Caenorhabditis elegans: one gene and its partners. The gene in region 2 interacts genetically with the main gene of each other region. Each region holds a gene or a part of one and is shown on either strand. Other genes may lie near its edges.

The links.
Region 1: changes in glp-1 (region 2) and prx-5 together harm fitness more than expected from each alone (negative genetic interaction), as found in Caenorhabditis elegans (one large-scale study listed by BioGRID).
Region 3: changes in glp-1 (region 2) and gsk-3 together harm fitness more than expected from each alone (negative genetic interaction), as found in Caenorhabditis elegans (one large-scale study listed by BioGRID).
Region 4: changes in glp-1 (region 2) and kin-19 together harm fitness more than expected from each alone (negative genetic interaction), as found in Caenorhabditis elegans (one large-scale study listed by BioGRID).

The regions. Positions count from the first base shown.
Region 1 is NC_003280.10:8,702,894-8,707,294, forward strand, and holds prx-5 (TPR_REGION domain-containing protein), read left to right. Parts: upstream 1-1,930; 5' UTR 1,931-1,931; coding exon 1,932-2,031; intron 2,032-2,080; coding exon 2,081-2,265; intron 2,266-2,313; coding exon 2,314-2,658; intron 2,659-2,706; coding exon 2,707-2,937; intron 2,938-3,082; coding exon 3,083-3,172; intron 3,173-3,224; coding exon 3,225-3,688; intron 3,689-3,734; coding exon 3,735-3,828; 3' UTR 3,829-3,867; downstream 3,868-4,401. Other genes in the region: Homeobox protein ceh-7, read right to left, coding at 475-531, 739-936.
Region 2 is NC_003281.10:9,090,651-9,098,257, reverse strand, and holds the start of glp-1 (glp-1/Notch intracellular domain), read right to left. Parts: upstream 6,018-7,607; 5' UTR 5,946-6,017; coding exon 5,806-5,945; intron 4,946-5,805; coding exon 4,830-4,945; intron 4,190-4,829; coding exon 4,127-4,189; intron 3,608-4,126; coding exon 2,699-3,607; intron 2,399-2,698; coding exon 2,158-2,398; intron 1,853-2,157; coding exon 1,117-1,852; intron 710-1,116; coding exon 237-709; intron 187-236; coding exon 1-186. UniProt on the Caenorhabditis elegans protein: Essential signaling protein which has a major role in germline and embryonic development; involved in cell fate decisions that require cell-cell interactions. Probable membrane-bound receptor for putative ligands lag-2 and apx-1.
Region 3 is NC_003279.8:12,817,410-12,825,240, reverse strand, and holds the start of gsk-3 (Glycogen synthase kinase-3), read right to left. Parts: upstream 6,026-7,831; 5' UTR 5,880-6,025; coding exon 5,787-5,879; intron 4,707-5,786; coding exon 4,438-4,706; intron 3,592-4,437; coding exon 3,015-3,591; intron 1,123-3,014; exon of another isoform or gene 1,069-1,122; intron 726-1,068; coding exon 576-725; 3' UTR 1-575.
Region 4 is NC_003281.10:4,083,495-4,088,183, forward strand, and holds kin-19 (Casein kinase I), read right to left. Parts: upstream 3,143-4,689; 5' UTR 3,077-3,142; intron 3,012-3,076; 5' UTR 2,995-3,011; coding exon 2,845-2,994; intron 2,787-2,844; coding exon 2,707-2,786; intron 2,633-2,706; coding exon 2,533-2,632; intron 2,253-2,532; coding exon 2,098-2,252; intron 2,048-2,097; coding exon 1,934-2,047; intron 1,893-1,933; coding exon 1,778-1,892; intron 1,726-1,777; coding exon 1,570-1,725; intron 1,452-1,569; coding exon 1,296-1,451; 3' UTR 509-1,295; downstream 1-508.

The DNA of each region.
Region 1 (4,401 bases), on a different chromosome or scaffold from region 2:
CAAAGGTAAACTGTGAAAATAAAAGTTGCGCCGTGTGCACAAACCTATATGCTTTTCAATCTATACGTTCTCAAGTCTCCCATAACTTTATGCTTTTTTGCAAGTTTTGGCCAGTTTTTCCAATTAAAATGCACTAGATGATTTTTTAAACAATATGAGTTTATTATTTTTTAAGAAAGAATTGGCTGCTTCTAATCAATGCAAAACATACAAAAAAGAGAAAAATCAAACATCACAACTCATTTATGTAGTGTACTCCCCATGACTCGCCTACCAACTTGACTGTTTGTCCAAGAAATCGACAATTTGTCAGGTTAAAAGACAATGGGTTAATGTCTGGAAAAGTGTCAGATGATCAGGAATTTGCTCTCGAGGAGTTTTCAAAACCGTAAAGCGATGTTTTCAATGTTGGAAATAGTGGTTCTAACTACAAAATTTATTTCAGTGAAATGAAATTAAATAAATATTTGACTATTATTTATTGGCTTCTCTTCTCATCCGGATTCGACGATTTTGGAACCAAATCTTCACCTGTAATGTGCTACGTCTCGGAAAATTATTGAATGATAACAACTGATTTAAAAATTTTTTATTTTTTTCCTAGATTGATCTAATCACATCTTTACAACATACAATCGGATATGTTAGACTTAACGTAGAAGTTGCTGGAGCTCAGCCTGGTGGATAAATTTCGCAAACAATTTTAATAGAGAATAGATTTCTAAAAACAATAGAAACCTGATATTCATCTAGACTCAAAATCCTTGCCAATCTTTCCCTTTCATCACATCCAACATACTGACTTTGTGCAAAATACATTTCGAGTAAATATAGTTGTTCCACTGTAAATGTGGTTCTTCTACGTGGAATTCTGGAGGTTGAAGCTTCTGGTCTAACCATCATCAGTAAGAATGTAAAGACCATTTCGTGTTTCATATTTATGCCGTCAATTGTCAGTACAAGGGGCCGCCCGTTTTCGTTTCGTTTCGTTTAAATTATAGGGAATACATTATAAAATCACACCTTTTGTGTATATCTTCGTAGTTTTATTGGACATTTTAATAGGCCTTGTTTATAAAAGAAAATATAATAATGATGACATTATACAAAAAAGTATTCAAGGAATGTTTTATAGTTACAAAACCTATAGGTATACAGAATATGTCAAAATAGGGGAAAAAACTGAATGTATGCAGTCGACGAATAAGGTTGTCTTGACATTTTTTTGGTTAATAATGTTTTTCCTGCCAGTTTCGATATCTTTGAAATTTTGATCCAGATGACATCAATCCTAGCTATGGAATAATGGGGGAACTCTCTTTAAATTCACAACTTCATTCGAGCAAAATTTGTCTTTTGCACACGAAAAATTATTATTATTATTGCACAATCAAATATTTTTCCCCCGTGCAAGTGTGCAATGGGGCGACGGGTCGAGCCAGAAACCCGTGTTGTTGAAAATCAAACCAAGTGCAAAATATCCATTTTGCTTAATTTAAAACGATCTAGGATAACTCCACTAGCAACTAGAATATCTAATTGAAGGATTGAAATTTGGAAACTTACAATAAGGTATTCTATTTTATTACGTTTTCAATCTTGCTAGGAAAACTTGGAAAAAAAATCCATAAACGTTTCCCGGTTATTTCAGAAATCGATAGTCGACCTCCGTTGTTCCTTATCTAAATTTCATCAATTGTATCCTTTTTGATAAGACAATACTATCTTTTTATCACTACGTCTCCTTCACTCTAAATCCTAATGTAGTATCAATCAATTTGATGAAAAGACTACACTGGGGCCCACTTATTTTCTTTTTCAATCAAAATTCACACTTTATTTTATATATTTCTTGTAAATTGTATTTTTCTTCATTTTTAATTCTACTTTTTTTCAACAATTAACTCTCGAATTCTTCAATTTTTTACAGAATGAAAGGAGTTGTAGAAGGACAATGTGGACAGCAGAATGCTCTTGTCGGGTTAGCTAACACATTTGGAACATCCAATCAAAGAGTCGCTCCGAGTAATGGTAAGCTGGAAATATTCAAGTAAAAATTAACAAAAAAAAAAGTTTTTAGCTGCAGCTTCTCTTCTCCCATCTTCTTCTATGGGAGAACAAATGGCTAATGAATTTTTAAGACAACAAGCGAGAACAATGGCTCCAACAAGTTTCAGCATGAAGTCGATGCAGAATAATTTACCACAGGCATCAGCATCCTCAAGTTTGGCAGCAAATTGGACAAAGGAGTTTCAACCGCGACAGGTATTTCTAATGCATTCATATATTGGTATTTTCAATTGATTGCTTCAGAACCAGTTAGCGAGTCAATGGAGTCAACAATACACATCTAGTGCTCCAAGCATGGAATCTGCATGGCGTCAAGTTCAAGCTCCATCAATGACATCCACGTCATCACATCAACCAATAACAGATGCTGGTATGTGGTCATCTGAATATCTGGATACTGTGGATACTTCTTTAACCAAATCTTCTGGGACTCAAAACTGGGCTGATGATTTTATGGAGCAACAAGATAATTATGGAATGGAAAACACTTGGAAAGATGCACAGGCTTTTGAACAGAGATGGGAGGAAATTAAGAGAGATATGGAAAAGGACGAATCTCTTCAAAGTCCTGAAAACTATGTTTATCAGGTAAGATTTTTGTCTTCTTTAACACATTTTTATAACCCTCCTATTCAGGAAGCAAACCCTTTCACAACCATGTCAGATCCACTGATGGAAGGAGACAATCTAATGAGAAATGGAGATATTGGAAATGCCATGCTTGCCTATGAAGCAGCAGTTCAAAAAGATCCTCAGGATGCACGTGCCTGGTGTAAATTAGGATTGGCTCATGCTGAAAATGAAAAAGATCAGTTAGCAATGCAAGCGTTCCAAAAATGTTTGCAGATTGACGCTGGAAACAAGGAGGTAAAATTTGAGAAAAATATTTGATTATTTGATGCCATAAAATAGATAGGTCGCGATAAAATTCATATCTGTCTCTTAAAACTTTTTAAGAACAGAAATTAAGAAAAAAAAAAAAAAACTTCCAATAAAATCAAAATTATTTCAGGCACTTCTTGGTTTGTCTGTCAGTCAAGCGAACGAAGGAATGGAAAATGAAGCTTTACATCAATTGGATAAATGGATGTCTTCTTACTTGGTATTTCTTATTTTTATTTCAAGAATAATCCCACACGAATAAATATTTTAAGGGTTCAAACTCGACTCAAGTGACAACCACACCTCCACTCTACTCTTCATTTCTGGACAGTGACACTTTTAATCGAGTTGAGGCTAGATTCTTGGATGCTGCTCGGCAACAAGGAGCAACTCCAGATCCAGATCTTCAAAATGCTCTCGGAGTTTTATACAACTTGAATCGCAATTTTGCAAGAGCTGTCGACTCTCTCAAGTTGGCGATCTCCAAAAATCCAACTGATGCTCGTCTCTGGAATCGTCTTGGTGCTACGTTAGCCAATGGTGACCACACAGCTGAAGCCATTTCAGCATATCGAGAAGCTTTGAAATTGTATCCAACATATGTCAGAGCAAGATACAATTTGGGAATATCTTGTATGCAATTATCATCTTATGATGAAGCTTTGAAACATTTTTTATCTGCATTAGAATTGCAAAAAGGAGGAAATGATGCATCTGGTATTTGGACAACTATGAGGTTAGTTTATAGCTTTATATGTTAAAATCACCTTCACAAATTTCAGATCAGCAGCAATCCGAACATCGAATGTCCCTGACAATTTACTGAGAGCAGTGGAAAGACGAGATTTGGCAGCTGTAAAAGCCTCTCTAGTCTAGAATAATTACAATTTAAATACTAAAATAAATAATTATTTTTCCTCGAATTTTTTTACTTGGTTTTCAAACTTTCATTTTGAAAATCTCAATTTCAAGCCGATCACGAGTTTGGAAGGGTCATAAAATGTTATTACAGCGGTAAGAAAGCAGGAAGTAAACCGACCTAGCACAAAAAGTGTTCAGCTCATTTTGTTTTGTTTGTAGAACTCACATTGTTAGAGCTCAATGAAATGATTGAATAATGCCTAAATTAAAATAACATTCTTCAAGACTTCTAGACACTAAGTAATCAAATCCTATCATTTCTCTTACGGTGAATTTCTACAAAATGCTCAGAAATTCCACATGAGTCACCGTTCCATGAGTAAAACCTCGGAACATATGACTGATTCTATTTATTATCATCTTTCCGCCACCCTCTTCCAAACGTCTCACTCTTTTCTATTTGCCGGTCATCGAACACATTCTTCCTTTTCTCTTTCTGTCTTTGAAGCACATGACATGGCCATTTATCATGAAAAGGTACAGCTGGTTGAAGAAGAAGAAGATCCGAGAGAAACAGCTCCAATTGAG
Region 2 (7,607 bases):
ACATCGGCTCCAGCCTTCAAGCATCGAATTGCCTCTGTTGTAATGACATCTTCCGGTTTTCCTCTGACATTGGCAGCAAGCCAGTGCAGAACTCGTCGTCTATACTTTGAATCCACTTGATTGACTGACTCATTTGTGATTGGAGCTGTAATCGCATCTGGTCCTGCAGCTTGAACATGGAGAGGGCTGAAAGAAACATAACAATAATTATAATAAAACTATAAAGATTCACTCACATTTCGTCGGCTGGTAGATCAGCTGGTGCGAACGTCTCAGATTGAAAGTCAAAGTTCAATTCGTTGTAATCACCGGGATATCCATTTGCGAGAGTTTGTGGATAAATCTGTGAATATTGTTCTCCATTGTAGCCGGTACTATAATCGCTACAGTGTCTCTTGGTATTGGGGTGATAGTAGGCAGAATTGTCAAGAAGAGAGCACTGACTCGAATGATTTGACTGATTCCGACGACCTTTCTCGTTCGTTGATTCCATCGGAGGCATCCAGACTGTTGCGTTCACCATTTTTCTTTTTCTACTTCTTTCTGGACCATTCTTTGCGATAACACCAGCGACAACAGTTCCAAAAGCCAAAAATGCAATACATGCAAACAGAATAACTTGACTGCGAGACCATCCTTCATCGATTTCGTTTCTCTTTGGAACAGCTACCATTGCTTCCGTAATTGGGAGACCCAGAGACATACGACCCTGAAAATGTTTTAATTATTATTTTCCATAACTCAAACAATTAAAGGTTCACCGCTTTTTGGCTCGAAATATACTATAAAATTTTTCTAATTTTTAAAAATTATATTTGGTCATTTTATCACCATAAAAATAGATTTTAAGCCCCACCAGTGCTGGGACTTTTTGATATTTTGACGAAAAATTGTTTTTTTGGTTTTGGATTCAAAAACTAATTTTCTGTACTTCAAACATTTTTTTATGTTTTACAAATATTTTTAGCAAAACGCGGATGATTTTCTTCTAAAAAGTGAAAAGTGAACCGGAAATCTACCTTTTTGGATTTTTCACAAATTTAATTTTTTTTGTTATTTCGGTCCAAATTATTTTGTTTCCAGCCCGGTGCCGTACTCCACATAAAAATAACTTACATCAGACTTCACAAGTCCAGCAGCAATCAAATCAACGACACTTTGCGCTGTTGAAAATCGGCAAAACTCGGGTTTACATATTTCTTCGACTTCCAAATACAAGACAATTCCAGTGACAACAGCTTGCCGATACCTGCGAACGTGATGCGAAAGTACAAATTGATCTTCGAGCTTGCTACTATTCATCTCAACTCTTTCCATTTCATGTTCACCATCCCATCTGAATACAAGAGGTCCAAGTTCATCCCGTTGAATACGTACGGTTGCTCGAAGATTTGCACTGATTTGCATTAGTGTTTCTCCTCCGGTAGCTTGGAATTCAATAGGATCAATTTGAACTTTTATACGAATATCACTGAGGATTATTGCTTCTGTTCCGTTATTGCAATCTCCACCGTCAAAACCACATCCAATGAAACTGCATTCTAAATTACAAACTCCATCGCCTCGTCTTTCAATACAATGTTTCCGAATATGAGCTGGGCATCGAAATAACTCTGATTGACAGTCCAATCCATCGTAAAGACATTCTTCATTATTGCATTCCTGATTACAGACTCCATTTGCGAATTGATCAGCACATCTTGCAGGGTATTGACATTTGGAGAATGGTCTTTGCCCTCCTGAGCAATCACCTCCATCAAAATTACATTCTTCCAAATTGCATTCCGGGTTGCAAATACCATTGGAAGCAAGATCCATACACTTTCGTTGCTCGCATAGATCACGAATGACACTGAAATGTTCACATTTAATACCTTGAATACAAATTTTGAAGGAATTTTATCTTCATCGTCATTATACTCCAAGTGGCTCAAAAAAATAATTCCAAATAAATCATGGCAGTTCAAATCTTGGAAAAAGACAGCCTTATTTTAGCTAAAGAAATTTTATTTAACACCTTCCCCGTGTCACACAAACCGAAGCTGGCAAAATTAGAGATTTGAGCTAAAATTAGGTATTTATTTCATTGAAACCGCTTTTTACTTCAATAAATTATTTTTCTGGGCTGCATTCTTTATAGTATCCAAGAAAACTAACGTCTCTTTTGATTTCTCGATAACTAGAACTTCTTCACAAGTGGGTCCAGTGTATCCATATTGGCATTCGCAATATCCAGTATTCTTACAAACTCCTCCGTTCTTGCATGGATGTCTGGAGCATAACTGTCTATCCTTTATTTCGCAGTAATCTCCAGAGAATCCGTTGGGGCAGTTACATCTGATAACGCCATTCACACCTTCACAAGTACCTCCGTTAGCACATGTAGTTGGAGTGCACACTGAAGTTTGTTGATATTAAGAATGCTGCCTAGTAATCTTGAGCTAAAAATACGGTATCAGGTCTCGCCACGACAAAAATTTTGTTAAATGCGAAAAAATGTGCGCTCCTAAAGAGTACTGTAGTTTAAAAACTCTCCTTGCTCCGGGATTGCCATTGATTTTTCAAAATTTAAGTCTGTGTAGTCTATGTAGATTTGATGTTAAAAAGCTGAAAAATTGATGAAAATTTCACCGTTTGAAACTACAGTACTCTTTAAAGGCGCGTTTGTCGTATATAAAAATAAAATTTTCGAACTTACACAAATGTTGCTCGCAGTTCAATCCATAGAATCCAAGCGGACAATGACATGAATATCCACTGTTTTTGAGATCGATACAAGTCGCATTATTCACACACGGATTGTATTTGCATGACTGAATATCTGGGAACTTGAAATCTTTCCTATTAATCTCACATCGATCTCCAATATAATCAGGTTCACAGACACAGAAACCATTTATACATCTTCCATCGTTGTAACACGTTCCATTGCTCCGAGAGCAGTGTGGTCTCTGTAGTGGAAGATCACAATGAATTCCCCCGAATCCTGAAGGACACTCAATCTCACATCGTTGTCCAGTGAATCCTTGTTCGCAATAACAAATTGGCATCTGATTCGAGTCATGGGCACAGTATCCATCATTTTGGCAAACGTAATCCTTGCACATGTCGATAGCCTCCTCGCAATACTTTCCAGCGTATCCAGGTTTACAGGTACAAGTAAAATCACCGTGCAAATTGAAACATGTAGAGTTGTTAACACACGTTTCTTCGATGAGGCATTCGTTTTTATCCTTATTGCAAAATTCTCCCTCGTATCCCGAGTCGCATACACATCTGAAGTTCTTGTCTTCATCTCTGTTCGGAATACATCTTCCATGATTGCAAATGTTTCCCATCAAAGCACATTCAGTTCGTTCACAATATCGACCGGATTTTCCAATTGGGCAATCACAGTAATAGTTGTATACACTATTGACACACGTTGAACCTTCTGCGCATTCATTTTGAGCACAATGATCGATTCCTTCTTCACAATACGATCCTCCATATCCATTGTTGCATATGCACTGAAATCCACCATAGAATGGATAGCAGAGTCCGTTGTTGCAAGGATCCGAATCGCATGGATTTACTCCCGAAAATAGAGGAGTTTTGCAGTCAGGACCTGAAAATATTAATGTATTAATCACGGATAGGCCTTTGTCTTCTTTTTAAAAAAAGTGGAATTTAAATTCAAATTCCGGCGGAAGTTTGTTTTTCCTAATAGCCATTCACACCTCATTACCCCCAACCGCCGATTATTTCCTTTGAGATGAGAAAGGTGTCAATCTCATTACGGTAAAATAGAGAAAAAGAACACGCAATATTTTGATTTATTTGAGATCAAATCGGTTCCGACAACAGATGGAAAAAGTTATCACAGTGGGAGACTTGGATCTCGCGCATTTCTTATTAGAATATGTTAAATTAAATTAAATATATTTAATTTATTTTTTACTATATTTTTTAAAATCTGATAATTTCATTGGTCCTTTGTGTTTTCGAAAAATATAAAATTGAAAAAAAAACAATTTTGCAACTTTTTAAAAATTAAAATAGCTGTCAATTGTTGCTCAAAACAACAATAATTGTGATACAAAGTCATTGACTATTAGTAATCATACATTATCCAAACTTTACTCACCTCCATAGCCTTCTTCACAGCCTTTTTGAGTACGTTCTGTTGGAGGAGTCTCGTCTTCGCAATCTGAATAATAAAACTTATAAATATTTTCTCATGGCTGTCTGTGTAACAACATCTGCTTGATTTATACTACTGCCCCCGCGCAATGAAACCGAACATTTGCAATAAATCGCATGACAAAGGCGATGAAGATGTGCGAATATGACCTAGTAGAAGCTATCTATCACTAGCGGTCATTTTGAGAGCGTAGAAATGAAAAATAGGATACCACGAATGCGGTACAATTTGTCAATGTTGGGATCTCCCGGGAGAATTATTATACGTATGGTCGCGTGTTTTCCCTAATAAGTTTTCGAAATTTTGATATATCCTGAAACAAAAAATTGCGTACAAGTCGGGCACAATCAAAGAAAAATACACTCGCAGTGTGATGATGGATGATGTGGTGAAAAAGATTGCCGCTATGAAAAAGGGCAGATGAAGAAAAAGGTGGAAGTAAAACATGGAACAAAATTTTGAATTTGAAACGTTTAAAATCTTAAAATGATTGATTAGAATACACTTGAATCGAGATAAAGTATTTATCAAACTATGCAAAAAGGCGATAATTTGATTTAAAGATTTGAGAAGTCCCATTATGAAAATAGGTCGTTTCGGGCAAAATATTATGATATTTAACAGATTTTAGGATTCACAAAATTACCTTGACAGATACACGTCGGATTTTCACCATAAACATCGTAGATGCACTTCTCGCCTCGTTTACAATCCAAATCGCATTCACGTTCACAGAAAGCACCTCCGAATCCTTTTTTGCAACTGTAAATTTGATTAAATTATTTTTAAACTGAAAAGTAATTCAATTGAGACAATTTATGACTGTGGGCCAGTGGTGGGTGACAATCAATAAATTACAGTATTTTTAATCAAAAATCGTGGCAAAATATATCGATTTACTTGAAAATAACAATTTTTCAGCTGATATATTCGTGAAAGTGATCAGAAAACAAATCTCGATAATTCACTCAACAACTTTCAGACAATTTTGGACCATTTTCTCACATTTTTAAGCTGAAATAAGTGTTATTTTCAGATAAATCGAGCGATTTTATGTATTTTAGAGCATCATGGCGCAATTTTCCTATCGATAAATACGTTGATACTCTCTGTATAACTAATCAAACGAGCTAGATAGTAATAAGAAAAGACAAGATTAAAGAACCGACACGCTAATCCAATTGTTTTATGAACGTCCATATAAATTCGCCGACAACCCTGGGAAGATGGCTGTAAACGGCTGTAAATTTTGCCTTTGGAACTCAAAGTTATTGATAAGAAAAATGAATTGTTTGTAGAGAAAAGGGAAAACTAAATAACAATTTTTTAGATTTCCCGAACGATTTACGAGATTTTACATTGTGACAGCCTCCTGCTGTTCATTGTGTTCCCATTCTGCAAGCCGGGTGGCGTTTAATGATGTCTTAGAGGGAAATATGGACAGTGATAATTCAACTTTCGGATATTATTCAAAATGTTCTCTACACCAAGCTTTTGTTTATCTATCGCCTGTTTCCCACCACCACCACCTGCCCAAACTTTCTTTTTTTTGTTCTTTTCGTCACGGTTCATGAGAAAGCGGATGAATAACATTGACATGGGAGAATGAAATATATGCTTACCGGCACCAGTATGTCTCAATCAGTTTTCCATTATAGCATTTTCCATTGACGGAGCAAGCACCTTCCCTTCCGCATTCTCCACCCATAAGTTGACTGGCGATTGGCGCAAAAAACGCGAGTAAAATTAGAAGAACTCGCATTGTTGTGTTCGCTGTTCGAGATTCTGTTATTATTAGTTGTTAGAGCAGCTCTTGGTGTTATTGTACATGAATCTGAAAGAAAATATGAATTAAATCAAGAGATGCGGTTAAGCGAAAAAAAAGAACACTTCAGCATTATCACAAAAGTACAAAAAAAGAACGGAGAACAGGAAAAAAACGAAAATGGAGAAGACAAGGAGCGACGAATGAAGGCCGGGTGGCATACTCCGCCCATTTTCTGAGTGTGTTGCGATTGTCTTGACACCTGAGATGGGCGGTCCAAAAAGAAGGATAACAGTACTTTTTTCGAATAGGAACACTAGAAAAAGAACTGTTAGGATAAATCGGAAAACTCATTGATTACATTATTTTATTGCCTATCCGACAGCTGCATGTTGGTTGCGAAATGTGGAGAAAACAACCAATTTATGGCCTTTCAATTGATCATTCCCGTGAAGAAGAAGTGGGGAAAACGATTTACATAAGAAAGTGAACGAAAAACTTTGTTAGAACGATAAACGGAGATTTGTTTGCAATGATTTACTTGGAACCTATTTTACGCCGTTTTCAAGCGATGAATATTCCGAAAATAATGTGATGGAGCTAAATAAACTTATTACGATCTCATTTAAAATATTAGAAATACAGAAAAATGTTCTTATCGTGTCAAAAAAAGAAAAAAAAACAAAGAAAATCATTTTAAAACTCAAAATAAATTTTGGCGCCGTGCACAGCTCGGAAGTCCGCAATTGACGACCGTACCCCTTCGCTTACCGTAGTTCTGATATTTGCTTATCTTTTTTAAATATTATTCTCAAAAACACACACAAAACTTATCTGAAGATTAAAAATACGAAAAACTGTATTCATGTTTGAATAGAAAAAAATCTACAGTATGTCTGTAAACATTATTTCAATATTCAGTCAATTCTGGAATAAACAAATTTGCTCTGCTTCTGGAAATGTTTATACAAAGAAAAAGCGTTATTGTCGGCATACAATACGGAATATAAAGGAAAACGGAAAAAGAAAACCGAAGTGCTAAATCGATAGTGATCACATAGGCGGTTTCAGAATAATCCACGTTTTCGTGCAGCAAGTCGTCCATTGTTCTCGAATTTGAACCTTCCTAAATCAGTCCGTGTTCTAATTTCCCGTACCTGGCCACATATGAACACAAATTATATTGGTAGAACATATGGAAACAAGGTACACGTGTAGTTATTGTCCGATAAAATGATAGTTTTATGACTCATAGGAAATTTGAATCTAGGAAGATTCCACGCAAAACTGTTGGTCAGATGCAATTTTTCACGATTTTTCGAAAAGATGTGCGCCTTTATGGAGTACAGTAATCCATTTCGCAATTTTCTTTGAGTTTTTCACTATATTTCTCTCGTTCACAAAGATTTTGATGGATTATATTAAATTTCTCGTTTTTGGGAGAAAAAAGTAAAAATCAAAGGCAATTTCAAAAAAAAAACCGGAAAATGGTTACTGTGCTTCTTAAAGGCGCACACCTTTCCGTCAATTTAAAATATTATGTTCGTGGCGAGATACGGGGCATACCGTATTTCTGCGTGGGAAATTGCAAAATTTTGTCAAAAAAAAATTTCTTCCAAAATAAGTTGAAAACTCTCACTGGACCGGACGTACAAAACT
Region 3 (7,831 bases), on a different chromosome or scaffold from region 2:
AAACGGCGGCGGAGGGGGAGGAAATGTACAGAAGTCGCGGATTTTTTCAGGCCTTTGGGCCTAGATGAAGTCCTAAAAAATTGGGCCTCAAAAATTAGGCCAAAGGTTTAAAAAACCCAAAATTTTTGGCCTAAAACCCAATTTTCAGCCAAAATTTCAGGAACCTTGAAAACCTAATTTTTAGCCAAATTTTCACAGAAAAATCCAGGGGGGAGCCAGGTGGGGTAAAAAAAAAAGAGTAAAAATTCAAGTTTTTCGAGACAAAAAAGCTTGAGGGGACAATAAAATAAAATAAAAGAAGAGCAGCAGACAATCGAGTTGGGGGGAAATGCTTCTACAACACAGTTGCTATGGAGACGATACGGGCGATGGAGGGGGGTGGGGGGGGGAGGGCTCAAAAGAAAAAATAATAATTTTTTTCTTAATGATGATAGGTATGGAGAGAGAGAGAGACAGAGAGAGAGGAGAGGATGGATGTATAAAATCAATGGAAAAGAAAAATCCCACGGAAAATGAAAAAAAAAGAAACATTCGAGAGAAAATTCAGAACCAATATTAAAATAAAAAAAAGAAGTTTAAGCCGATGGGCCAGCCACATCACCGCTTGTCGTTGAAACTTCACCAGTTCCCATTGGACCGTCCATCTCAAGTGTTGGAAGAGGTCGACCAGATGGAAGACGTGCATCCGGGTTTCGGAGCTCATCAAAGAATGCGTGCTGGCAGGCCTGAAAAAGACGAAAAACATATATATATTGGTTGAATTGTTAAAGTAGCGTGAATTGGGGGCGATTTTGTCTCTCAAAAATTTCAAAATACAGTCTCAAATTCAGAAAAACGAGCAAAATCGATATTTTTGTCCATTGTGAGTTCCAAATTCCCCATGTTTGAATCCACGTGGAGTCAGAAAGTCCCATTTTGATTTGATCTACGAAAAATGCGGGAGATGAGACGCAAACATCTCAACTGATTTCACATGGTTAAAAGCGTGCAGACGTTACAATTTTTCTGGGAAAAAATTCCCGCATTTTTTGTAGATCAAAACGCAGACAATTCCCTCCAAAATGCAAACTCCCCAATCGATCAATCAACGACATCGAACTCCGCCCACTTCATCTGATTGGTTGAAAAGTGGGCAGGACGAATCGCTGATTGGTCGGGAAGTTCTCGTTTTGGAGGAAATTCAAAATGGAAATTTAAAATATACTAGTTAGTCACAATAGGGAAAATCGTGTTTTCGAAAGTTGAATTGTTCATTTTTCTCGATTTTGCTCGTTTTTTGTGGTTTTTCTAAATTTAAAAGTGTTTTCAAGCCAATTTTCTAATTTTCAACCATCATACCACGTAAATGTCTCCATCTTTAAAATTACGAGAACATCATAATTTTCTGGAAATCTCATTTGTAGTATGGCCTCTAATATTCTTGCAGTTGACATTTAGTTACTAGTTTCAAAAAATAAAAGTACGGATAAATTGTGAGCCGAGTTTTTTACTGCTCACTGCTTGTCAGCGAGTTCTATAAAAATTCCAAGAAACATTTCTTTCCAAGTTTTAGCTGAAATTTTGTTAAATTCAAGTTGAAATTTCAGTGGGATTTTCAATTTTTATGTCTATTTCAGATTTCACTAACTTTGAATTTATAGCTTTTTTTTCAAAATTAAAAACCACGGTTTCACAAGTTATCTTTTTCCAAAAATTGGAAAAAAAAGCCAAAATTCTGCAATTTTTTTTGTGTAAAAATCTAATGCTCCCATCTGCTTCCATAAATATCTTCCATATTCGTGCCAATTTGAGAAATCTAAGAAAAAAAACCGGGAAATGGCTTGATCTATGGGAGAATTACAATGAGGAAACAAAGATTTCAACGATAGATATTAAGGCGATTTTCAAAAGCAACCAACGAACGGGGTGGACTTTCTAAGCGGTTTTGTGAGGGGGCGATCGAATTTGTGAACAATGAAGATACTTTTTTTTGGAAAAATACAGATAAAATCATTGAATTTCGTTTCAAACTGGCTGCTTTTTTTTTGAGCGATCGAAAATCTGCAAAATCTGCAATTTTCAAAATGGAGGAAAAATAAGCTGACCGAATGGCCGAAATTTTTTAAATAAATTTTCAGTCAACTGTCTAATGTCTCAAAAATCACACTCAACTTTCTCTTTTTTTTTCATTCATATTACGGGAACCGAAAATTCTGAGAAGAATGCGTATTACACATCATAATTGACGCGCAAAATATCTCATTGCGAAAACTACAGTAACCCTTTAAATGGGTACTATAGCTCCGTGTGGCGATTTACGGGATTGATTTTCGATATGAATCTATTCTATATTTTCCTTCGTTTCTTCGTATTATTGTCTCATTTTTTGATTAATAAATGCAGAATAAAAATCGAGCCCGTAAATCGACACAAGCGCAGCGCTACAGTAGTCCTTTAAAAGGTTACTGTAGTTTTCGCTACGATATATTTTGCGCATCGAATATGTTTTTTTAAGGATTTTGTGTTCCATAATAACTTTTGTGAGCAAAAATTCGCATTTTTTGAGAATAAAATTACAGAACATTCGCTTTCAAAACCGAAAAACAAAAAAAAAGTCCATTTTTAGACAATTTCAATAATTTTTTGACACAATTTTAATATAAGTTTTGTTTTTCCATTTTCAAGTGTTTTTAAACGTTAAAAACTACCGGAAATCAGTTTTTGACATTTTTTGTGCAATTTTCGCCATTTTAATTATCTCGATAAAAAGTCGAAAAATTCAAACTTCCATTAATTTTTAGAGATTTTTCTCATAAAATTGTAAAATAGCCAAAATGATTAAAATTCCTGAATTTCGCAGTATTTTTTAAACTTTTGGGCAATTTTCTCAAGTTTTCAATGACAAAAAATCAATTTTTTTCAATTTAAAAGGTTTTTAGTTGAAAAAAGAGTCGATTTTCAGCAATTTAGTGTTGGGAAAACATTTTTAATTCATTTTTCGGCCTTTTTTCTACAAAAACCCCCAAAAAACTCACCGCTTGAGGTGTTGGCCGAGACGTCGGCGTATACTCGATAATCTTCGAAATGAGATCAATCGCTTCAGCAGGCGTGTGTACACGGAATACCTTATTCCATGGATGTGCCTTTATCTGTGGAAATTTGAATTCCTTGTAGTTCGGATTCATACTTTGAATTTGTTCACGAGTCGGTGTTCCAAGAACTTTAATAATTTCAACGAGTTGATCAACTCCAGAGTCACCAGGGAAAATTGGTTGGCCGAGAAGAAGCTCTGCCATTACAGTTCCAGCCGACCAAACGTCAATCGAGTTCGTGTAGTTTGTAGCGCCGAAAATGAGCTCCGGAGCACGATAATATCGCGAGCAAATGTACGAGACGTTTGGCTCATTGCGAACCAAATATTTGGCAGATCCAAAATCACAGAGCTTAAGCACTCCGCTTTCCGGGTCAATGAGCAAATTCTGAGGCTTAATGTCACGGTGACAGATTCCAATGCTATGAATGTAGGCCAATGAACGGAGAAGCTGATACATGTACAATTTGACATAAATCATTGGAATTTGTTGTCGCTGCTTCGAATAGTGCCGGGCAACTCTGCAAAAATTAAAAATTTCAAATAAATTTCGCAAAACATCAAGTTTTTTTGTTTAAAAATCGATTTTTCTAAATTTTTTCAATTTTTACATAATTTTTTCCATAAATTTTAGTCAAAAATTGTCAAAAAAAAATTTCTAGGTTTTCAACTTGAAAATTCAAAATTATAAAAAAATAGAATATTTTCAATTTTGTAAAGAATTTTGCAAAATTTCAAGTTTTTTTGTTTTAAAATCGTATTTTCTAAATTCCAAGCTATCAGCCATGTAGTTTGTAGCCTTTCTATACGTTTGGAACGCATTTTTGAACTTTTAAATAGCTTTTTACATAAATTTCAGGAGGAAATTCGTGAAATAGTGCATTTTAGTCAAAAATGTTGCAAAGAAATCTGCTTGAAATCGCCCTGTAGCGCTGGAATTCGGGAAAAATCAATTTTTATCTTAAAAAATCAAAATTTAGCGAAAAAATTCAATTTTCGAACCAAAATTTCACAAAATCGACGGAAAATCAAATTTCCATGAATTTTTGTCAGAAATTAACAAAAAAGGTTAAAAAAATCAGGCATTTTTTGATTATTTCCTTTAAAAATTTACATTAACATCATTTTTAAACAGTTTTTCACAAAAAAAAACATAAAAATTCAGCTTTTTATTGAATTTCTACTATTGTTTTTCAAAATTTTTAAAAATATCTTTAAAAAAGAAATTCGCAATTTTTATTTAAAAATTTCCAAAAAAATTTTTTTTTTCAATTTTTAAATAAGAAATTCTCTTTATTTTTGAACAAAAAAATTCCGCTAAAAACTGAAATTTTCCAGAAATTTTTAAAAATCCTAATAAAAATAACCTGTAGACAGTTTCAGGAACATATTCGAGAATCAAATTCAAGTAGAGTTCATCCTTCTTCTCGCCGCTCGAATAGAAAAAGTATTTGAGCTTCACGATATTTGGATGATTCAATTTTCGCATAATCTGTAGTTCACGATTCTTGAATCGTTTGTCCTGAAGAACTTTCTTGATTGCAACCATTTCATTTGTTGTAGAGAGTTTGGCAAGGAATACCACTCCGAATGATCCATTTCCAATCACTTTCTGATCGTAGTACGAGATTTCAACCTACAATACATTTTTTTTTAATTAAAATTTGAATTACAGTGTTTTTTTTCGTTTGGAGATTTTTTAATAATAATTTTTTCACATTTTATCAGCTAGTTTTCCAGCAAATTTCCTTTTTTTTTTTTTGAAGAAATTGATATTTTAAGTGCTTGAGTAAAATCGTGTACTCCACGAGGAAAAGGAGAACAATTTTGTCAACCTATTTATTACGTGTTTATCCACAGATGAGAAAAATCGCCATATCTGCCGCGCAAATGAACCCGCGGGAAGAGATAAAACTACTGTAGTTTTTAACCAATTTGTGTAGATTTACGAGCTATTGCGTCATCGTTGAATTTAATTTGCAGGCGTTTTTCTAATTTTTTTGTGTTTTCTTTTAAGATTTATTCAATAAATAGATAAATTTCAATATAAAAAAGAGTGAAACACGCCTGAAAATTAAAAATTGCGGCTCAAAATTAAATTCAACGATGACGCAATAGCTCGTAAATCTACACAAATTGGTTAAAAACTACAGTAGTTTTGTCTCTTCCCGCGGGTTCATTTGCGCGGCAGATATGGCGATTTTTCTTATCTGTGGATAAACACGTAATAACTCATTTATTGTGTTGTACTAAATATCGAAAAATATATTTGTATCACTTCCAAAGAGTTTTTTTTTGTGAAAATCCTCATTTTCATGCATTTCCACCAGAGGTGGGCGGATATTTTTTCGGATATTTTCTAATAATGAATTTATCAATAAGTATTGATGTAGTTATTCTGGAAGAAATGTATCCGAACAAAAGAGTAACTATTAAGCAATCGGATATTACGGATATTACGGATATCGGATAATGGACTTGCATATCGTTTATACAGAAAACTTGTAGAATTTTTTTAGGTTTTATCATATTAAAATGTTGCTTAATAGTTACTCTTTTGTTCGGATACATTTTTTCCAGAATAACTACATCAATACTTATTGATAAATTCATTATTAGAAAATATCCGAAAAAAATACCCGCCCACCTCTGATATCCAACTTCTTTTCATCCAAATTTCTCCGAGAAAATTAAAATTTCCTCACTCAAAACCAACCTGCTGATCAACACCATCCGTGGCGACTGACGCGACGACCATCGTCACTTGTTTTCCGCTTTTCAGCGAGCACGATAGTAACTGCTTATTCATCACACCACACTACTGATTGATTTGATTCTTGTGTGTGTGTGTGTATATATGAGCTCTGTCCAATAAATGAGAAGAGCCAGAGATTAGATGATGAGGATATGATGTGGTTTTTTGAGAGGGAAAACGGAGAGAATGAGGCTATTCACCTGAAAATAAAAAATAATAAAATATTTCATTTGGGCGTTGGGTTTGAAAAATACGAGGAAACGTATAAAAATGGGTGATATTTAAGGCAAATATGAGGTGAAATGGAGTAACATTTCAAAATTCGATAAACTTTTAGGAATTCCTAGCCAAAGTGGGAACAGGGGTGGGCGGCAAACGACTTTTTCTGGCAAATCGGTAAACCGGCCAATTTCCGACGAATCGGCAATTTGTCGAATTTGTAGGACTATTAAAGAGCTGTTAAATATGGATTTCGCCAAAAAACTTTACTGGAAATTAGACGATTTTTGGCATTTTCAGCCCATTTTTTTAGGATTCGCTTCAAAAAATCCAAAATAGTCGTAGGGGAGCTCTCATTTTGGAGGATATTCAAACTAGAATAGAATTTAGCCAAAAATTGAAAAAATCGAAGTTTTAAAAGTAGTATTTCTCAAAACTTCTAAAGTTTTTTCTAAAGCTTAATGTAATGTTATTAGCTCGAAAAAGTTGGCTAACTCACTGTAATAAAAGGGAAACGCCAAAACTGCCAAATTTTTAAATATAGAAATGAATTTTTTGAATTTTAAAATTAAAAAAAGGGAAGTAAAATCTAATCCGACACGTTTTAATGTACGTTTTTTTCAAAATAAATAAATACATATTCATTCGAAATTGAATTTTTCTAAATTTAGCGGCAATAAAAAATATATTTCTAGAAGAAACTATATTTTTGGTACTTATGGGTTTCGTTCCCCCCAAAATGATTTTTAATTATTCAACACTACCTTTTTAATTTTAATCCACACGTTATTGTTTATTTTAATACTGTTTTCATTTTTACAAGGCTTAGAAAATCATTTCCCTAAGCCTGGGAATGAAAAAAAAGTTCACGTATCAATTAGAAAATATGGAAATCATTTTGGGGGGAACGAAACCCATAAGTACCATATTTTTTGATTTGGAATTGATATAATTGCTATTTTCGTAAGTATTTCAAAATTCTGACTGAATCAAAATAAAATGCTTCAATTGCTCATCTTAAAATAGCATGTAAGCCCATTTTGCTACACAATTTCAAGAAATTTCACTAGCGCGATCGAAATAACCAGTTTAATAGGAAATTACTCATATTTTCAACGGAAAATGCTCAAAATCGCCAAAACTCACCGCTTCTCACTAACGATTGAACGAAAAATGACTAAATTTCGGTGTTGTTTTTTTTATTTTAAAAAACTAATCCAACACGTTTTAAAAATAAATAGAATTGCTTTTTATATAAATACAAAAATACATTTTATTTCAAAATTGATTTTTTCCAATTAAATTTCGTGGCAATAAAAAGGTACGTATTTTTTTAAAATGTTGTTCCTTGGGAAAAATCAAAAAAGATTTTGGCTAAACAGGATTCTATATTGATCGTAATAGGGAATATATAAATATATATACCGGAAAACTGGCAATTGTCGTTCGGAAAATTGTTTTCCGGGAAACTGCCGGTTTGCCAGTTTGCCGGAAATTTTCATGTTCGGCAAATTGCACAATGTCAATTTGCCGAACATCAATTTGCATATATGTATCTTTATATATATATATATATATAATATATATGTGTCAGTCAATATGAGGGGGTGGAAAAGAAGGAAAAACAGCTAAAATTGAGTGTGGTGAGCGAGTGAGCGCGAGCGCGTGTCTGATGGAGGAAATGGGCAAAAATATGGTGAGATGGAGAAGAAAAAGGAAATGAAAAAGAAAAAAGAAGAAGAAGAAATGCGCTATCAATGTGGAAATAAGCATATTCAATGTTCCCA
Region 4 (4,689 bases), 5.0 Mb from region 2:
CAATCAATTTTTATTCAATTTCTTATTCTTCTTTATTTTTTAAATTTATTCGTCTTAAAACATGAAATGATATTTATATTCGTCGAGCTTGTGTTCTTTCGAATTTCTCGGAAAATTCCGTTTTTCCTGAAAAGTTTTAATTATCTGCTGAAAGAGCTTACCTTGGATGCTCCAACATATTGGAGCACTTAAATTTATCCTTCCAATTGGTTTTTTGTCGTCAGTTCAGGATCCTTGTCGAGCATTCAACAACTCCTCCATTATTCCATGAAAGTCCAGAGATCGGGATGTCATGCCCAAGTGTCTTCTTTTGGAGGCCCATTGGGCTTTTGTGCCATCGAATTGTTGGCGATCGATTGAACTATCCGATATGTGAAGTTTTGTATTTTTTGGAAGTTTATATAGACATATTTTTAGGGTAGGAAAGTTCAAAAGGGTGTTACGGGAAATAGCATTAATTTTTTAAAAACTAAATTCCTGAAAAGTTTGAAAACAAAACAAATTTTCTAAAATGATGAACTTGTTCATTTTAAAGTTTAAACGGAAAAAAATTCGACAGCAGCAGATGTGAGAGACTCAAGCGCATCTTTTCTGGTCGTTTTCAGAAAAGGTCGCAAAAAACAATGTGATGAGAATTACGACAATTTATTGATTACACACAAAAAAGAACGGAGTGGGGCTCTGATTTCTGGGTGGGGAAGTTATGGGAGGGTATTGAGAGGCATTTGGAGCCAAAAGAGAGGGGGTGGGTGTGTCAAGGTGAGCCGGTTATACCCAAAAACATGTTCGGCCACTTGACTTTTTCAGTATTTTTTTTAATTTTTGAGTGCCCGACATTGGGACATTTTCATCATTACGAAGAAAGGAAAGGGAAAAATGGTAGGGGGGAATAGAGAGAAAAATATATTGGTATGTTGATAGGGAGGCATTCAAGAAAAAAAGGTCAAAACGATTCGAAAAATGGGGGAATAAAAATCCTACTAAAATGGAAAAGAAGGAAATAAAAGAGAGTAGGAGAAGATGATGAGACTATTTATAAAACGACAAATAAAAGTGCTGAAACTGCGAAAAGTAGAGAGTATTCATCTTTAGTTAAAAAATTGGTTAAAAGATAAAATACAACAAAACATTCCACAATTTTCAGCACACAGTTAAAGAGGCATGTTAGCCCAAGAAAAGACAAAAATAGTAGAGGGGAAAAAAATGAAAAGAGTAGAGAGACGAAAGAAAGGATAGTACATGATTTAACATGGGCTTTTTTGGATTAAAAAGCCTCAGGACGGCAACAAAACGTCTTACTGTGGAGTAGTTCCTCCTGGTGCAACTCCAGCTGGAACTCCAGCTGATGGAACGGTAGCTCCCTGTGTAGTAGTGTTGGTTCCGGGGACGCCACTGGATTGCGATTGTTGAGCCTTTTGTTTGAGCATTGTCCAGTCGAATGTGTAGTCGTACTGTAAATATGCATTTTATTATATTTTCTTAAACAATGTTGCTTTTTTTAAAATATTCATTCAAGTATTAATTATGTTTGAAAAGGTTTTCTGTAATTGTAATTGTTTTAACACGAACCTGATGATTGAGCGTTCTGAAGAGAATTCTGAACAGTTGCCGCAAGTACATGTAATCTGGAGATTCATCGAAACGAAGTCCTCTTGTGTAGCTCAAGTACATTGGGAACTCAGCTGGGAATCCTTTGCACAAGTGCTCGACTGATGTCGTCATTTTCTGAAAACATTAAGTTGAAAAATCGATAAAATGACAGGATCACACCACAAACCTTCTCAGAAATCTTCTCATACTTTTGCTTTTTCGTGGCGGCCTTCAATCCTTGCCATGGAAGAGTTCCACGGTTGAAGTACATCAAAACGTATCCAAGGGATTCCATGTCATCTCTGAAACAGTAAATTTTAAATTTAAAAAAAATCTAAAATACCTTCTCGACTGCTCAATTCCCAAGTGGGCGTTGATGGATGCGTATCTGGCGGTACCGGTCAAGTTCTTGTCCTCTCTGTATGGAATATGAGTTCTGGTGCGTGAATCACGGTATCTGAAAATAATTTGATGAATATTTGTTAAACTATGATAGTGAGTGATTACTTTTTGGCCAATCCGAAGTCGATCAAGAAGAGCTTGTTGCAGTGACGTCCTATTCCCATCAAGAAGTTGTCTGGCTTTATGTCACGATGAATAAAGTTCTTGACATGCACATATTCGATACGTCCGATCATCTGGTCAGCCAGCATGAGAACAGTCTGAAAAAAAATTATCTTGATGGAAACTTCTTTAATAATGAAAATTTGTGAGAAGGATGCACTCATTTTCGAAATCGTTTATTATTTATTTACTCTGAACTCTGAGAACTCTATTTCTATGACCAATACTCTAACACATTGGCAACAATGATCATTAATACGTTTCATGTGCGAATTTCAAAGTAATTCTTGAAATTGAAATATTCACGTGAAGTAATTGCGCGGTGAAGCAGAGGAATCCGCTGCTGAAACTCATTTTAAGCTACTCGTCACCACTGACCTTCATGGTAAATCTTCTGGAGCAGAAATTGAAGAGATCTTCCAATGAAGGACCGAGAAGATCCATGACAAGCACATTGTACTCTCGCTCGGTTCCGTACCTGAAATTACAAGTTTTAGAACAATTTAGACGCGGTAAATATGTTCCTAGGTCTTTTTTATAGAAAAAGGTTACCATCTGATATGTGGAATTCCGACTCCTCCCTGTAGGATACGATACACTTTGGACTCGTACAGCAACTGCGGGTGCCTCGCCTAAAAATCGATAATGAATGATTATTCGAAAAAGAATATGGAAGCTGCTCAAACTAACCCGATTGCTTTCCAGCTTAATGGCCACCTCCTCGCCGTTCGTCACGTTGATCGATACATAAATGTCACCGAATGATCCTGATCCGATTTTTCGTATGAGCTTGTATTTTGTCGCAACGATGAAGTCCTTAACTGACATCACACCTGCCATTGTTTGCTCTGATCGTGCTGAAAATTCATGATTCACTATCGTGACTGACTAAAACTAAACAAAAAATGGTAAAAATCGATACCTTTGATAGCAGAACACGAATTGAGTGCACGAGGGCACCTGGTGGTTCAAGAAAGAGGAGCTCTACCTGAAAATATGCTATTTTTGAACGGAAAATAGAGAAACGAAAACGGTACGCGGTTGAGAATGGAACAGAAATGATGAAATACGATATTGTAAACGAATTGGCGACAAAAATCGATTGGATTGGGTAAACAACACCTTTTTTTTATTGAGAGCCCGGTAGTTCATCGAATTTCTGACAGAACATAAATTGAAAGAAAATGAAAGATTCAGGATTTTTCATCGACTACCAATTGAATTTAGCATTCCATTAGAAAACAAAAAAAGGTATTCGTGATATCAAAAAACTTTCCTCATAAATATTCCGAAAATCTAGGATAATCTACGTTAGACGACATAAAATTGCGGATTTGAAAGAAGTGCTGCTTATTTTTTTTAAATAAAAACAGACAACTTGAAAAGAAAGAATCGAGAAGAAAGGAGAAAAATAAATTGTTTCAGGTGAAAACAAATTGAGCTAAATTGGAAAATCGATAGCTGAAAACTTCAAAACTTGAAAATCTAGCTGACTACACTTTATTCAAACATAGAAAGTACGCATGTACATTTAAGTAATACTTCAGAAACCAAGACTGACAAACGTGCGCGAAGGACAAGCTTTTCAAGCTGCAGGCTAATAATCACTGCTAATTCTTTACTCCTGTTCTCACATTAAATTGTAAAACGAATAAATTGCGAATATTAAGAGCCATTAATACAAAAATCGATCAAAAAGTGAGCGTTAACAATTAAAATTTAAAAAAAGCGATCGAAAATGGCTAAAATCCTAAATTTCTCGGCTTTCTTGCACTAAAACGAAGTGCACGCTTTGAAATCTTGTGATAATCGTCCAAAAAGTTCATTAAAATTATTAAACATTAGAAATCCCCGTCTGAAAACGTCAGTAATGACTCACTTGCCACCTAATCCAACTCACAAGACAGCCTTTATTTGCTCACTTTTAGCCGTTTTTCTTCAATTTCAAACCAAATATTAGATATACCGACCACTTTATCACAATTATCAAATAATTCCCAGCCGAAAACACGAAAAACGTCGAAAAACGAGCAGAAATCGATGAAGAAACGGGGCGAAAAGGGTGTCGGGCACCGATTTCGTCAGTCACACAACCGGGAAGGCCGACCGCGACGCAGTGTTCATTGCGTCGCGGTTGCGCGCTAATTCAAATTCGACTCGTCGTTTTCTCTCGTTCTCTCGCATTTTGCATCAGTTTCGCCCATTTTCCTCGGTTTTCTTTCACTCTTTTTCGTCTCGCCTCGAACATTTTTACGTTTTTATGAACGAGACGAGTCACTTTGTTCGATTAAATGAGAAATATCACGTGGAAAATGGGGAGAACGCTGGTGGATTAACAAAATAACGAGAAAAAACAAATTTTAAGAGCAATTTCGGAAAAAACACTGGTAAAGGTTGAAATCAGCTTTTGAAAACTCAATTCTTGCCCTTTTCCCAAAAAATAATTCCTTTGTCGGATCGAACAAAAAACCGGTTTTCAAAATAAAAGTTTACACCCAACACGAGAGACAGTTGTCGATTTTTTGATAAATTACA